Linked DNA regions of Drosophila melanogaster. The protein of the gene in region 2 interacts with the protein of the main gene of each other region in a pairwise test. Each region holds a gene or a part of one and is shown on either strand. Other genes may lie near its edges.

Region 1 (4,221 bases), on a different chromosome or scaffold from region 2:
GGATTCTTATCCATCTTTCGAAGGGAGTAGCGCGGTTCGTTGCTGCTCTCCTGGCTAGTGTCCAGACCACTATCCGTGCTGGTGTCCTGCGCCTCCACGTTCATCGAGATGTCCGTCTCCGATGAGTAGCTTGAGCTGATTGATTCTTCTAGATCAACATTTGTGCTATCCTGGTCGTCTTCCGACGTCGGTTTTCCACTCTGCAGTTGCGATATGGGATGCGGATTTATGCGCTTTCGGCCGCGCAGATAGCCACTGCGAGAGGTAACTGGAGTAGTCGGAAAATACATCTTGGTGCCTTGACTTCAATGACTTGAATGACTTGAATGATGACGGCCTGTCAGAAAGGAAAGCTGTCACTTTCGTAAGGCAACTCTAAAAAATGATTGCCAACAAAATATAGATTTTCGATATTGAGCGCTTAGCCTCAAATTCAATTCAATCCAGAATATTTATATATTAATGTTTAGGTTTATGCAATGCCTTTTGAACGGTATAAAAATATGCAAAATGCTGTTGGTAATCTTGTCTGCTTATAAATCAACATTTATTCGTAACCCAGAAATCACAGCAATTGCAACATGAGCTTAACAAAGGTGGACATATTTCTTCTGTACGTGTGTGAATGATAAATAATCGAACAGTGAAGAATCCATATAGGAAATATGTACAACCGACGGGCCTCGAAGCACAATATGCTAAGGCCCAAAGATCCAATGTGTTGTGCCTTCCTAATGGGTTCCCCTGCTAGCCTGTTTTGGTGTTCATGTGTGATCTTGAGTGGGAAGTTAATCCTATTATTCATCGCCGCCACCCTCTTCGTCTTCATCGAATTCGCCCTCCTCATCGGCAGTCGCCTCCTGGTACTGCTGATATTCAGAAACCAAGTCGTTCATGTTGCTCTCGGCCTCTGTGAATTCCATTTCGTCCATTCCCTCGCCGGTGTACCAATGCAAGAAGGCCTTCCTTCGGAACATGGCGGTGAACTGCTCCGAAACCCGTTTGAATAGCTCCTGAATGGCGGTGGAGTTGCCAATGAAGGTGGCCGACATCTTGAGACCTCTGGGCGGAATATCGCACACCGCTGTCTTGCAGTTATTCGGGATCCATTCCACGAAGAAGCTGCTGTTCTTGTTCTGAATGTTGAGCATCTGCTCGTCCACCTCCTTCATGGACATGCGGCCACGGAAGATGGCGGCGACGGTCAGATAGCGACCATGTCGCGGATCGCACGCAGCCATCATGTTCTTGGCATCGAACATCTGCTGGGTCAGCTCCGGAACGGTAAGGGCCCGGTATTGTTGCGATCCTCGCGAGGTGAGCGGTGCGAATCCGGGCATGAAGAAGTGCAGCCGGGGGAAGGGTACCATGTTCACGGCCAGCTTGCGAAGATCAGCGTTCAGCTGGCCAGGGAAGCGCAGGCAGGTCGTCACACCAGACATGGTGGCCGAAACCAGATGGTTCAGGTCACCGTAGGTGGGCGTGGTCAGCTTCAGTGTGCGGAAGCAGATGTCATACAACGCCTCGTTGTCGATGCAGTACGTCTCATCGGTGTTCTCCACCAGCTGATGCACACTCAGGGTGGCATTGTAGGGCTCCACCACCGTATCGGACACCTTGGGCGAGGGCACCACCGAGAAGGTGTTCATGATGCGGTCCGGGTACTCCTCGCGGATCTTCGAGATCAGCAGGGTTCCCATGCCGGAGCCAGTGCCGCCACCCAGCGAGTGGGTCAGCTGGAAGCCCTGTTGGAGAAAAGTAGGGTAAACTTTTTCAGATAAATTCCCAAACCCCCAAAACTTACCTGAAGGCAATCGCATCCCTCGGACTCCTTTCGCACCACATCCAAGACGGAATCCACCAGTTCAGCACCCTCGGTGTAATGACCCTTGGCCCAGTTGTTGCCTGCTCCCGATTGGCCAAACACAAAATTGTCCGGCCGGAAGATCTGGCCAAAGGCGCCAGAACGAACCGAATCCATGGTGCCGGGCTCCAGGTCCACGAGAATTGCGCGTGGCACATACTTGGCACCGGTGGCTTCATTGTAGTATACATTGATGCGCTCCAGCTGGAGATCACTATCGCCGTAGTACGTTCCGGTCGCATCTATACAGTGCTCATCCGAGATTACCTCCCAGAATTTACCACCGATCTGGTTACCGCATTGACCGGCCTGAATGTGTACAATTTCACGCATTTTGATAGTAAAGTTAGGGCCCCTTTTTCACACCGAAAAAATGGTACAAAAAAAAATCGAGCTTTTAAAACAGTCTGAGTGGGGCAAAAATCGGCAAAAGACTGAATATTTAAACGTATAATTTTTCAGGTTTAGATTTTAGTCGTGTACGTGCTAGCTGATACTGAGGTGAACTGAACCTGGCTTGGATTACTACACCGAATGTTCACAAATAGGCTACTACGATTTCCGACTTCGACACATTTCACACACCCCGATTTCAGAAAACTCAGTTCTCCGTTTTGAGCACAAACTTTAATAGTACTTACATAGATAAACGAATATACGGCTAAAATTCGAGATGGGATGGATTTGGCGGTGCCTTGGAAGCAATAGAGGATTCCAAGGCTACCGACCAGATGATACGATTGATATTGACATGGATGTCCTGGATTTTACTCCTTTGTAAATGTTTATATGGGTGTATAATGGGATGGGTCGATTATTTCTTAAGCAAAAACTGCCTTTTAAAGACTATTAACCTTGCTCTCCAAACTTATATGTATTATGACCCATCCTGGTTTAAAAATCTACGTAGGGAGGAAGGTTTGTCTAACAACCAAATTTTGGCGGCGGATGGTTCTCTACAGGATTGTAACTACGATTTGGTGATCCATTGGCTCTGGCTCCTACAATGAGGAGTCCCACAGCTGGCTGTACGGATATCAGACGGAGGCTCGCTTCAGGCACAAGGTGCTCTCGATAATGTCGGTAGGCTGAAAGTCCGGGTCCACGAACTGCTCATGATTCAGGCACCTGGTGCCACCCATGCAGGTGCAGGAACACAGGGAGGCGGTCTCATCGTTCTCCGTTGTGTAGTTGTTCTCCAGCAGCTTGCCGTGCATATTGTACGTGGACTCATCATCGAAGGTCACCGGCTGGGCATTTCCAGCCAAGTTCTGAGCATCCTGCTCATCTCTCTTGGCATCCTCTGCTTGCCTGTGATTAAAAATCCATTAAATAAGATATTTCCTGCAATAGAACATGGACTCACATGGTCATGAATCGGAGCACCAATAGATTGATACTGGCGGCCACCACGGCCAAGCCGAATAGGATGAAGACCAAGCTCAGCGCCACATAGCCAGGCTTATTAGTTAGAGCTTGGTCGTTCTGCAATGCCACATAATCGCCGAAACCAATTGTCGTCAAGGTGACAAAACAATAGTAGAAGCTATCGAAGTAGCTCCAACCCTCGTATCGGGAAAAGACTGCTGCTCCAGTGGTGATTATTATGGAGGAGAGCATTCCGGTGGCCAACATGAGATTCATTTCGGTGGCATCCGTACAGCGAGCTCCACTGGCTCTCTTTGCCCGCCTTATTATCACGGATGCAAACTTATTCAGACGTTCTCCGATAGACTGGAACATCACCAGACCCAGCGGGATGCCCACCTAATAAGGGAATATCTTTAGAAGACTGGAAATTGGGATTGTAAGTTCACTTACCATAGCATAGCCCATACAAAATGCTTTTCCCGGAATTGTAACTGGCGTAGAATGACCATATCCTAAAGAAAGTTACAACAGAATTATAATCTATTCAATAAATCATATTTAATAGATAATTAATTTACCTATCATTGCCAGTACAACCGTGCTGAAATAGAAAGCTCCAGCGAATTTCCACTGAGGTCCGGCCTTGTGGGGCTTATTTTCAATGATGACGATTTCCATCACACGGAAATCCTCGTCAGTCACATTGTACTTTCTAACAAAGTTGTTCTTAACGGCTACAATTGATTAAATAAATTCATTACTAAGAAATTAGGTTAATAAATCAACAAGCTTCTCACTCTGTAGGAATTCCCATCTTTTGGCCTCCGTTGGTGACTCCAGGGAATCGAACACGGCGGCTCCAATTAAAAGATAGGTGAAAGTGCATACCACCAGGGAAAGGGTACGGACATTCTGTCGCTTCATCATATAGTCTCAAATATAATCACTACGATCTATAATCAATTAATATATTTTGCACCACGCGC
Region 2 (2,831 bases):
TAATTCAAATTTTACTTTGAGTCCAGCAAGATCTTTTATATTTATTACGCCATTTAAATTGAGAAAACTATTGCCCAGTTTTCGTTATAATAAAGCTTAAAATATGTTTATGTACTGACAGCACTAGTTGTACAATAATTGATAAGCTGGCTACGACCAGAGGACATCAATCATTTCCCACCAGTCAGATAGCAAAACCGAAGCCAAATAATATATACAAAAACCACAAAAAATCCACGAAAGCAATTACCCGTACGGAAAATAGAGAGTGGAAAAGGAATCATGACCATGACCATTGTTTATGTCGTTCGCCTGCAGTTCAATTTTCATATTTGTACCATTAACATTGCAAATAAATGCAGGCATATATATTCGCAATATGAAAATGTGTCACAGCAAGAACCGACATTGAAAACCAATCAAGTATATTTCAATTAAGGTAAAGTGCATTTAAGTTATTTAAGCAAATATTTCGAGCGGATTTACAATTGCATTGGCAATAAGATTGAGGCAAATTAAAATGTCAGCTTACATGAAGAAATATGTGCGTAATATATAGTATACTATAGTATATAGTAGTATAAACACGAAATTCAAACATGAAGGAGTGAACTGTTTATTTATTTTTTATTTTTATTATACAAGAGCTTAGGTTTTGTAAAAAGTTAGTTTATAGTTTCTATTTGCAGAAATACATGAAGTTTAATAAATATTTTTAAAGTTTTTTACTTCGTTGTTGAACGACGGTCATATGGAGACCACGCCTACCACCTGGGCGGTGGGGGCTGCTGAACGATGATGACCTCTTCCCTGGGAGGTGGACGCCGACCGCCGATGTTGAACTCGATGAAGGGAGCTCTTGGTGGCACCACATCCACCTCGATAATGGGTCGTGGTGGTGGCGGCTGGTAGACGGCAGCTGGTGTGATGACCTCCACCCTGGGCGGTGGTGGTGGATACCGGCCGCCCACTCCGATCTCAATCACTGGTCGAGGAATCCTTGGCGGCACAATGTCCACCTCTACAATTGGCCTTCCACCGTGATGGTGATGATGGTGATGACGACGTTCCTCCTCGTAGTACGGCATTTTCTTCAGAAACTATCCAAGTATTGTATCCTTAGTGGGTGAAGTGAATGCCTTTGACTGCTTTCTCGAACTGAACTTGCTTCTTCGCCTGCTTAACTATTTAAGTCAATTTTTATCGCTAATGAGGGGGAATTTTTTTTCCTAATTTTGTTATGTGCGTTTTGCACAGTAGCTTAGTTGGTTATCTTGTCAGGTGGAATAAATGTGTTTTTTTCGATAAAAAAAAAATAAAATTGATAAGTGCCATTTGATAAATACGAAATTCCGAATTGAATTTCATGAGGAGAGTTCAAGGTTTCCATGAATCACAATTTTATATTTAAGAGGAAGGACTTAATTCCATGCTTCTGATTGATGACTCACACTAAATTACATAAACATAAATAAAATCGATAATGCAGTATTTAGAATATTTTTAGAATTAAAGACGGGTAGGTTTTTTGAAGAGCAAGATATTTTATTTATTTCGTTTTAAGGTTATATAGCACAATTATATTTTCTTTGAAACGGTTAAAGTTAAATTCCAGTTTTGTTTTTTTGTACCTTCCTCTGGTTATTAACTTGTTAACTTTGTGGTGCGTAATGTCAAGACCATTGCACCATTTGCGTTGTCATTTCAACTTAAGATTAGGACAAAGTGATATTTGTTTTGATTTCTTGTTATCTATCCCTTCCTTCACTCCATCGATAGTATATTTTTTTTTTGTTAGTGGTGATGGCTTCGTTTCCATTCCGACCTCGTTCACCACTGCGGATACGGTGGATTGTTGTAGGGCTGCTGATACTGGTACTGATACTCGTACGCCTGCTGCTGCTGCTGCGGATAGTATCCATTGGTGGTGGCCACCGTGACGCCGCCGTAGGGTTGCGGCATTATCACCTGTGTGCCGGGCACATAGGTAGCCGCCGGGGTCATGTAGACTACCTCGGCGGGCCGAGGCGGAGGCGGCGGCGGATAGTAGCCGCCACCCCAACCGGGAACCACATCAATTTCGATATTTGGACGACCATGGTGATGGCGAGGAGGATAGCCACATGGATCTTCATAGTACCGCATAGTTGATTAACTAGCCAAATAATCAACCAGCCAACCGAACCAACTTCACCACCCAGCAACGCGTTGAATACTGGAAAGTCCGTGGCACAACACGTCTAGCTCGAAACAAACTGGAACTGCGAAGCTCCATCAATCAGGGTTTGTGGGAATTATTCCAGTGGTTAGAGGCAAAGATAAGATGGCTTAGTCATTCGACAAGGTCTGATAACAGCGACCGGACAGTTGTGCATTTACAGGTGATCGGGTTTCGCTATTTTACTCGCATTTTGTTTACTATATTAACTGATTCCGGCTTATCTATGGGTAACGCGTTATTATTTCTGATATAGGAGCATAGAAGCATTGACAGAGCATTGGTGAAAATGAATTAAAGTTTTGCTAGACATTAACAAAACAACAAGTGATTGCCGTCTAAATTAACCAGGTGTTCCGATAAAGACTTAAAAAAAAAAAACACGGATTAGAGATTTTGATAATAAAAAGAGGGAGTGTGTGTGATGGAATCAACTCGATTGAAACTCAACCATTACTCATGACAAATATGCAAAAAAACTAAAAACTATAAACTAAAACTTAGTTTATAAGGTTATACTTTATTGAGGACATATAGTTGTTAAGTAAGGCTACGTGGTATAAATTCATTGTGAAGGATTTTACAGATCAAAGTTCCTTCTCAATACTGTGGA
Region 3 (4,768 bases), about 18 Mb from region 2:
AGATTTTCGTAGATGAGAAGTCTGCTTCCGCGATTATTTTTGATTACGGAAACAGTTAAAAGGTACGAGAGAGCATCATCACTATGAATGATGGCAATATTAGTTTTGGTAAATCAACGTAGGTGATTGGAAGGCCTCGATTTACTTTTCTTGAGACTGCCTGATGCCGGCTTTTATAAACTTTTTAAGCTCTGTTCTATATCTTATTTGATGATCTTTAGTTTTTGTGAAGAACTGACGTCATCGACATACACGTAGCATGTTTATTTAAGATCTGTTCCGCAAAGCATCATCGATTGTCCTTTGGAAAAAATTTGGTGCAATTTGCAGTCCGAGTGGTGCAGAATGCAGTTCTGTAGTTCTGTAGAAATGCAGTTCGTCATTAAAAAATATTTCAGGGGTTTCCCTGTATTTCTCTAATTACTCGATTTGATGGAATTACGATTTAAGGTCCGATGTTGTAAAATGTGGAGCTTTTCCCATAATTTGAAGTATTGTAAAGTATTCAGCGTCAATAGCGTTCTTTAGTTTCTTAAAATGGATAACGATACGTTTTTCTTATTGCCATTTTCACAATGTCCTTTTTTATCGAAAACACACACGCGGTTGTTGTAAGGTTATCTCGATTTTCTGATTATGACCTATGCGATACGCCCATTGGGAAAAGGTTATTTTTAATAATTACGCGTTCCCAATCGGATTGGATAGTAGCGATTTTATTAAGGAATGGCTTGATAAGGGTCTGCAAATGTCCCGGTCCCGGTTGCCAAGGCCCTCGACGATTCAATAATACAATTATCATTATTGTGCCGCTTTCATGTTCTAGAGAATTCTTTACGAAAATAATATTTGCATTTACCTTCTTAACAAAGTCCAGTCCAAAATGAGAAATAAGTGGCTAAGACCGCATATGCGTTTTCCCCACTTTATTGTGGACCGGTAGTGCCTGAAAACCGCATAGGTCTCCAATTCCCTTGACTCCCTTGACTCCCGAATTCGGGCAAAGAAGTTTGCTCATAGACATCTACGGTTGGGGATGTGACCTAGGAAGCTAATTAATTTTCTTTTCAAATATTACTTTGCTTTCATGGTTACCTGAAATGTATACACATTTTGTACTCCCTGGTTACATTAAAACATTACATGTGCTTTTTTTTTACTAATTTGTTTTCAGATTTTTGAACCTTGCTGAAGTTCATTTTCACACCTTTCCAAACTTCTGCAGAATTTGTTAAGATTTTGTACATTGATTTTTCTTCAGATTTTGTTGACAATATTCAGAATTTCGTTAAGTAGTAGTTAAGTAACATTTCTTCCGAATTAGAAAGCGCTGCAATCTTAATAAAACCAAACTGAATCCTCATTTATAATGGTTTCTTAATGACTCCGCCCCATTTCTGTCATCGCCGTCTGTCCGTTGTTCCAGGTCACCTCCAACACCTGTACCATCACACAGCATTTGGATTACTTAAAGGATTACCTTTTGTAGGCGGAATATAATTTTTCCAAATTACCAACGTTTTTCCGCGGCATAGAGTTAAAAAAATGTACATTTACTTTATGCGAAGAAAATCTAGGCTCAACAGGCTTTCCAGGTAATTATTAATCGAGGGAGCGTATGGTGATCTGTCTTAAGCGGTTAACTTTAAGCTTGTAATTTTCATAATATATAGGAAGATGAGAAACACAGCACTCATCTTATACATACATATTTCAAATATATATTTTAATACTAGGTAATACTTAATACTTAAGAGGTAAGACAAGAAATTACGATATAGTCGAGTTTCTTGATACCGGATACTCAGATAGTGGGAGAGCACAAGAAAAATGTACTGTTTCATTTTATTAGGTTATCGATTAAAATTGTCAAAAAAACTGTAGACAAATAAAATAATTTTTCGAACGTGTGGGCGGCTTGAAGTTGAAGTGGCTTGAAGTAGAGTGGCCGTGGGCAAAATTGTTTTCGCATATAGATTCTGATCGAGTGATAACAGCAAACTATCCAACAACAATTCGACACCTGTTTAGGTTCATGATATAAAAAAATGCTTCCACGAGCAGGATTTAAGATCATCCGCACAACTATCACATCATTAATTTTTTGTACAATAAAAAATAAAGATATTTTTTTCTAAGCTTAAGCCATGTGGTGTATGCTCACTTCATACTGTACATATTTTATAGGCTCGGGAAATTATACGAAAAGCGTGCATAATGAGCCATTTTATTTTATTAACTCGAATTTATTTAATCTGTTTTAGCCCTAGCTTAAATTGTTACGTATGTTTATGTGTACATCAATATAAATCCCAACACTCTTCATAAGATGCACGCGTAGCAACACGACACATCCTCCTTTCCAATCCACAACACACATCAATATCAATTTCCAACCAATTTGGTTGGAAAACAGTTTCAATTCAACTATCTATATGAATATGAATATGTGTTTAAAATCGTCGGATTTTGTGAATACTAAACGAAAAGGAAATTTAAAATATAATATCCGAATTGGTTTCAAAACTTGCGAAGTGCTGCAGACCATCAAAATAAATGTGCTTATGGTTGAATTTGGGTTGCATTTTTATCGTGCACTATACAAATTCTACATGAATTTAGTTTTAAGCCATTTTCTTGGCATACATGTGCGTACATAAAAATGTGTATGTATATGTATACTCCCGCGCGAAATGCAGTCAATGTAATGTTCGTTAGCACTTGTTTAAGTAATTTGCCTAGAGCCTTAACCAGTCATTGGATTATTAAAATGATTAAAATCGTTATTCATAGATCATTCTTAATTAATATTGGTACTATAATCATAGGCTTAGATTAAGTAATATAGTAATTCAATTAATATTTTACTAATGGTCATGCCACTAAGAATATTTATTAATATTTGTTGTACTTACATGATTGTATATGAACTAATTATATAATTTACGACAATAAAACTCAAAATTCACTTAAAACAACACGGCACATGCGAAGCTTAGACTTTGTGATCCCTTAAACAACTGAGGAGGCTACGTGTGTAGAAAACATTGATGACTTGTGTGGAGGCTGGAAGGTGGCGGGCATAGGCACTGGAAGGTGATTGAAAAGTTTGGGGTTAATTAAATTTTTATTATTTTGATTAAATAATTTTTCTTTTTGTAGTTTTATAAAATTGTCTTGGCTCAATTGTAGTTTCTTTAACAAGCACCTTGTTCAACAAACAAAAAAAAAATAAAAAAAGGAAAAATTGGGAGGAAATTCAATTCATCCAATGAACTTACAGATATACAACAAGAGAGAATGCTATAGTCGTTTTCCCCAACTATCAGATACCCTTTACTCAGCTAGTATGAATGCAAACGCGAAATTTTTATCATTTTTGTGGGATATCGATAGATATTGGGGAATAAAATGAGAAGTAATTAAAAATTGTTCAAATGTGTGGGCGTGACCACTTCGGCGGCTTCTTGGCGTTACAGTGGGCGTGGCAAAAAGTTTTTGTCAAATCGACTAATAACTGACAGTTTTGGGCGGCTTGTGGCCGTTAGAGTGGGCGTGGCAATATGCGTCAACAAACTTGCGCTGCGTCTATGTCTCTAGAATCTGTATGCTTAATCTCAACCGTCTAGTTCTTATATTTCCTGAGATCTCGACGTTGACACGGACAGATCGACTCCGGCTATTGATCCCTATCAAATATATTTATACATATGTAAGCTCTATACAGTCGGAAACGCTTTCTCCCGACTGTTACATACTTTTCTACGAATCTGGTATGCCTTTTTGACTCCACGAGTGACTCTTATAACTACCAATACAATTATTTACTACAATATTTTGGCTCATCGTGATATTACAGACTTTACTATTGCACAGAGTGAGGGAATTTATAAAGAACATAATAATTTTGGATTGAACAAATTTCTCGAAATCCGTAATAAAACTCAAATCCTTATCTGAATTCAAAATCACACAACTTCAATACAATTGGGTATTTGTATCAATATCCACCAAGTTACCCACAATATTCTCAACCCTTCCATCCTAATTTTAATCAATACCACCCAATTATTTCAAGTCCAGCCCATATATCAGCATTCAACCAAGTATTCCCAAAAGTCATTTCCAACAAATCCAAAATCCTCAAACAGCACATTTTATAAGAAATACATACCCTCAACTACAATACAACAAGCCTCCACAACTAAGAATTCTAACTTCAAAATGTCTATTGACGAAATGAGATTCCAAGACGCACATGAATTCGAACAAGTCCAACCTAATTATTACGAACAACAGTATTATGACCAAAATCAATACAATCCATATCAAAATCATGGGTTCATAAATGAAGGGCAACAACCGATCCAACCCGTACAAATTAATAACGAAATATTATATATCAAAATATATATATATCAAAATGGTTCTGAACTAAACGAAAATTTTCGGTCAACGGCCCCGACAACACGAATACATAAAAATAGTATACAAAGGGTGCACATACAAATGCCTACTAGATACAGGATCAACAAATAATATGATCAATGGAAAATACATATCAAAATAGTATATGTGAAGTTTTAACATCAAATGCCTACTACTTCGAAAAGCTTGATTATCTTACCCAGCAATAGTATTTTAAAAATAAATCAAACATTTCATGTACACAGTTACGATAATTAGCATATCGTAATTGGTAGAAAATTGTTGACAAATGCGCAATCAGTTAGAAATTAATAAATAATTAATTACCTCAGAATCGGAA

The links. Proteins that work in one complex are often made in the same cells at the same time.
Region 1: the proteins of CG15423 (region 2) and betaTub85D interact in a two-hybrid assay, tested with the Drosophila melanogaster proteins (one large-scale study listed by BioGRID).
Region 3: the proteins of CG15423 (region 2) and Marf1 interact in a two-hybrid assay, tested with the Drosophila melanogaster proteins (one large-scale study listed by BioGRID).

Annotation. Positions count from the first base shown.
Region 1 is NT_033777.3:9,407,856-9,412,076, forward strand, and holds betaTub85D (beta-Tubulin at 85D), read right to left. Parts: upstream 2,428-4,221; 5' UTR 2,198-2,427; coding exon 1,805-2,197; intron 1,746-1,804; coding exon 798-1,745; 3' UTR 528-797; downstream 1-527. Other genes in the region: CG44261 (uncharacterized protein), read right to left, coding at 1-290; Task7 (TWIK-related acid-sensitive K[+] channel 7), read right to left, coding at 2,902-3,175, 3,231-3,631, 3,686-3,747, 3,814-3,969, 4,033-4,162. UniProt on the Drosophila melanogaster protein: Tubulin is the major constituent of microtubules, a cylinder consisting of laterally associated linear protofilaments composed of alpha- and beta-tubulin heterodimers.
Region 2 is NT_033779.5:4,004,370-4,007,200, reverse strand, and holds CG15423 (uncharacterized protein), read right to left. Parts: upstream 1,161-2,831; 5' UTR 1,089-1,160; coding exon 765-1,088; 3' UTR 595-764; downstream 1-594. Other genes in the region: CG15422 (uncharacterized protein), read right to left, coding at 1,831-2,145; CG34176 (uncharacterized protein), read right to left, coding at 2,819-2,831.
Region 3 is NT_033779.5:22,310,186-22,314,953, reverse strand, and holds the start of Marf1 (meiosis regulator and mRNA stability factor 1), read right to left. Parts: upstream 3,028-4,768; 5' UTR 2,916-3,027; intron 1-2,915.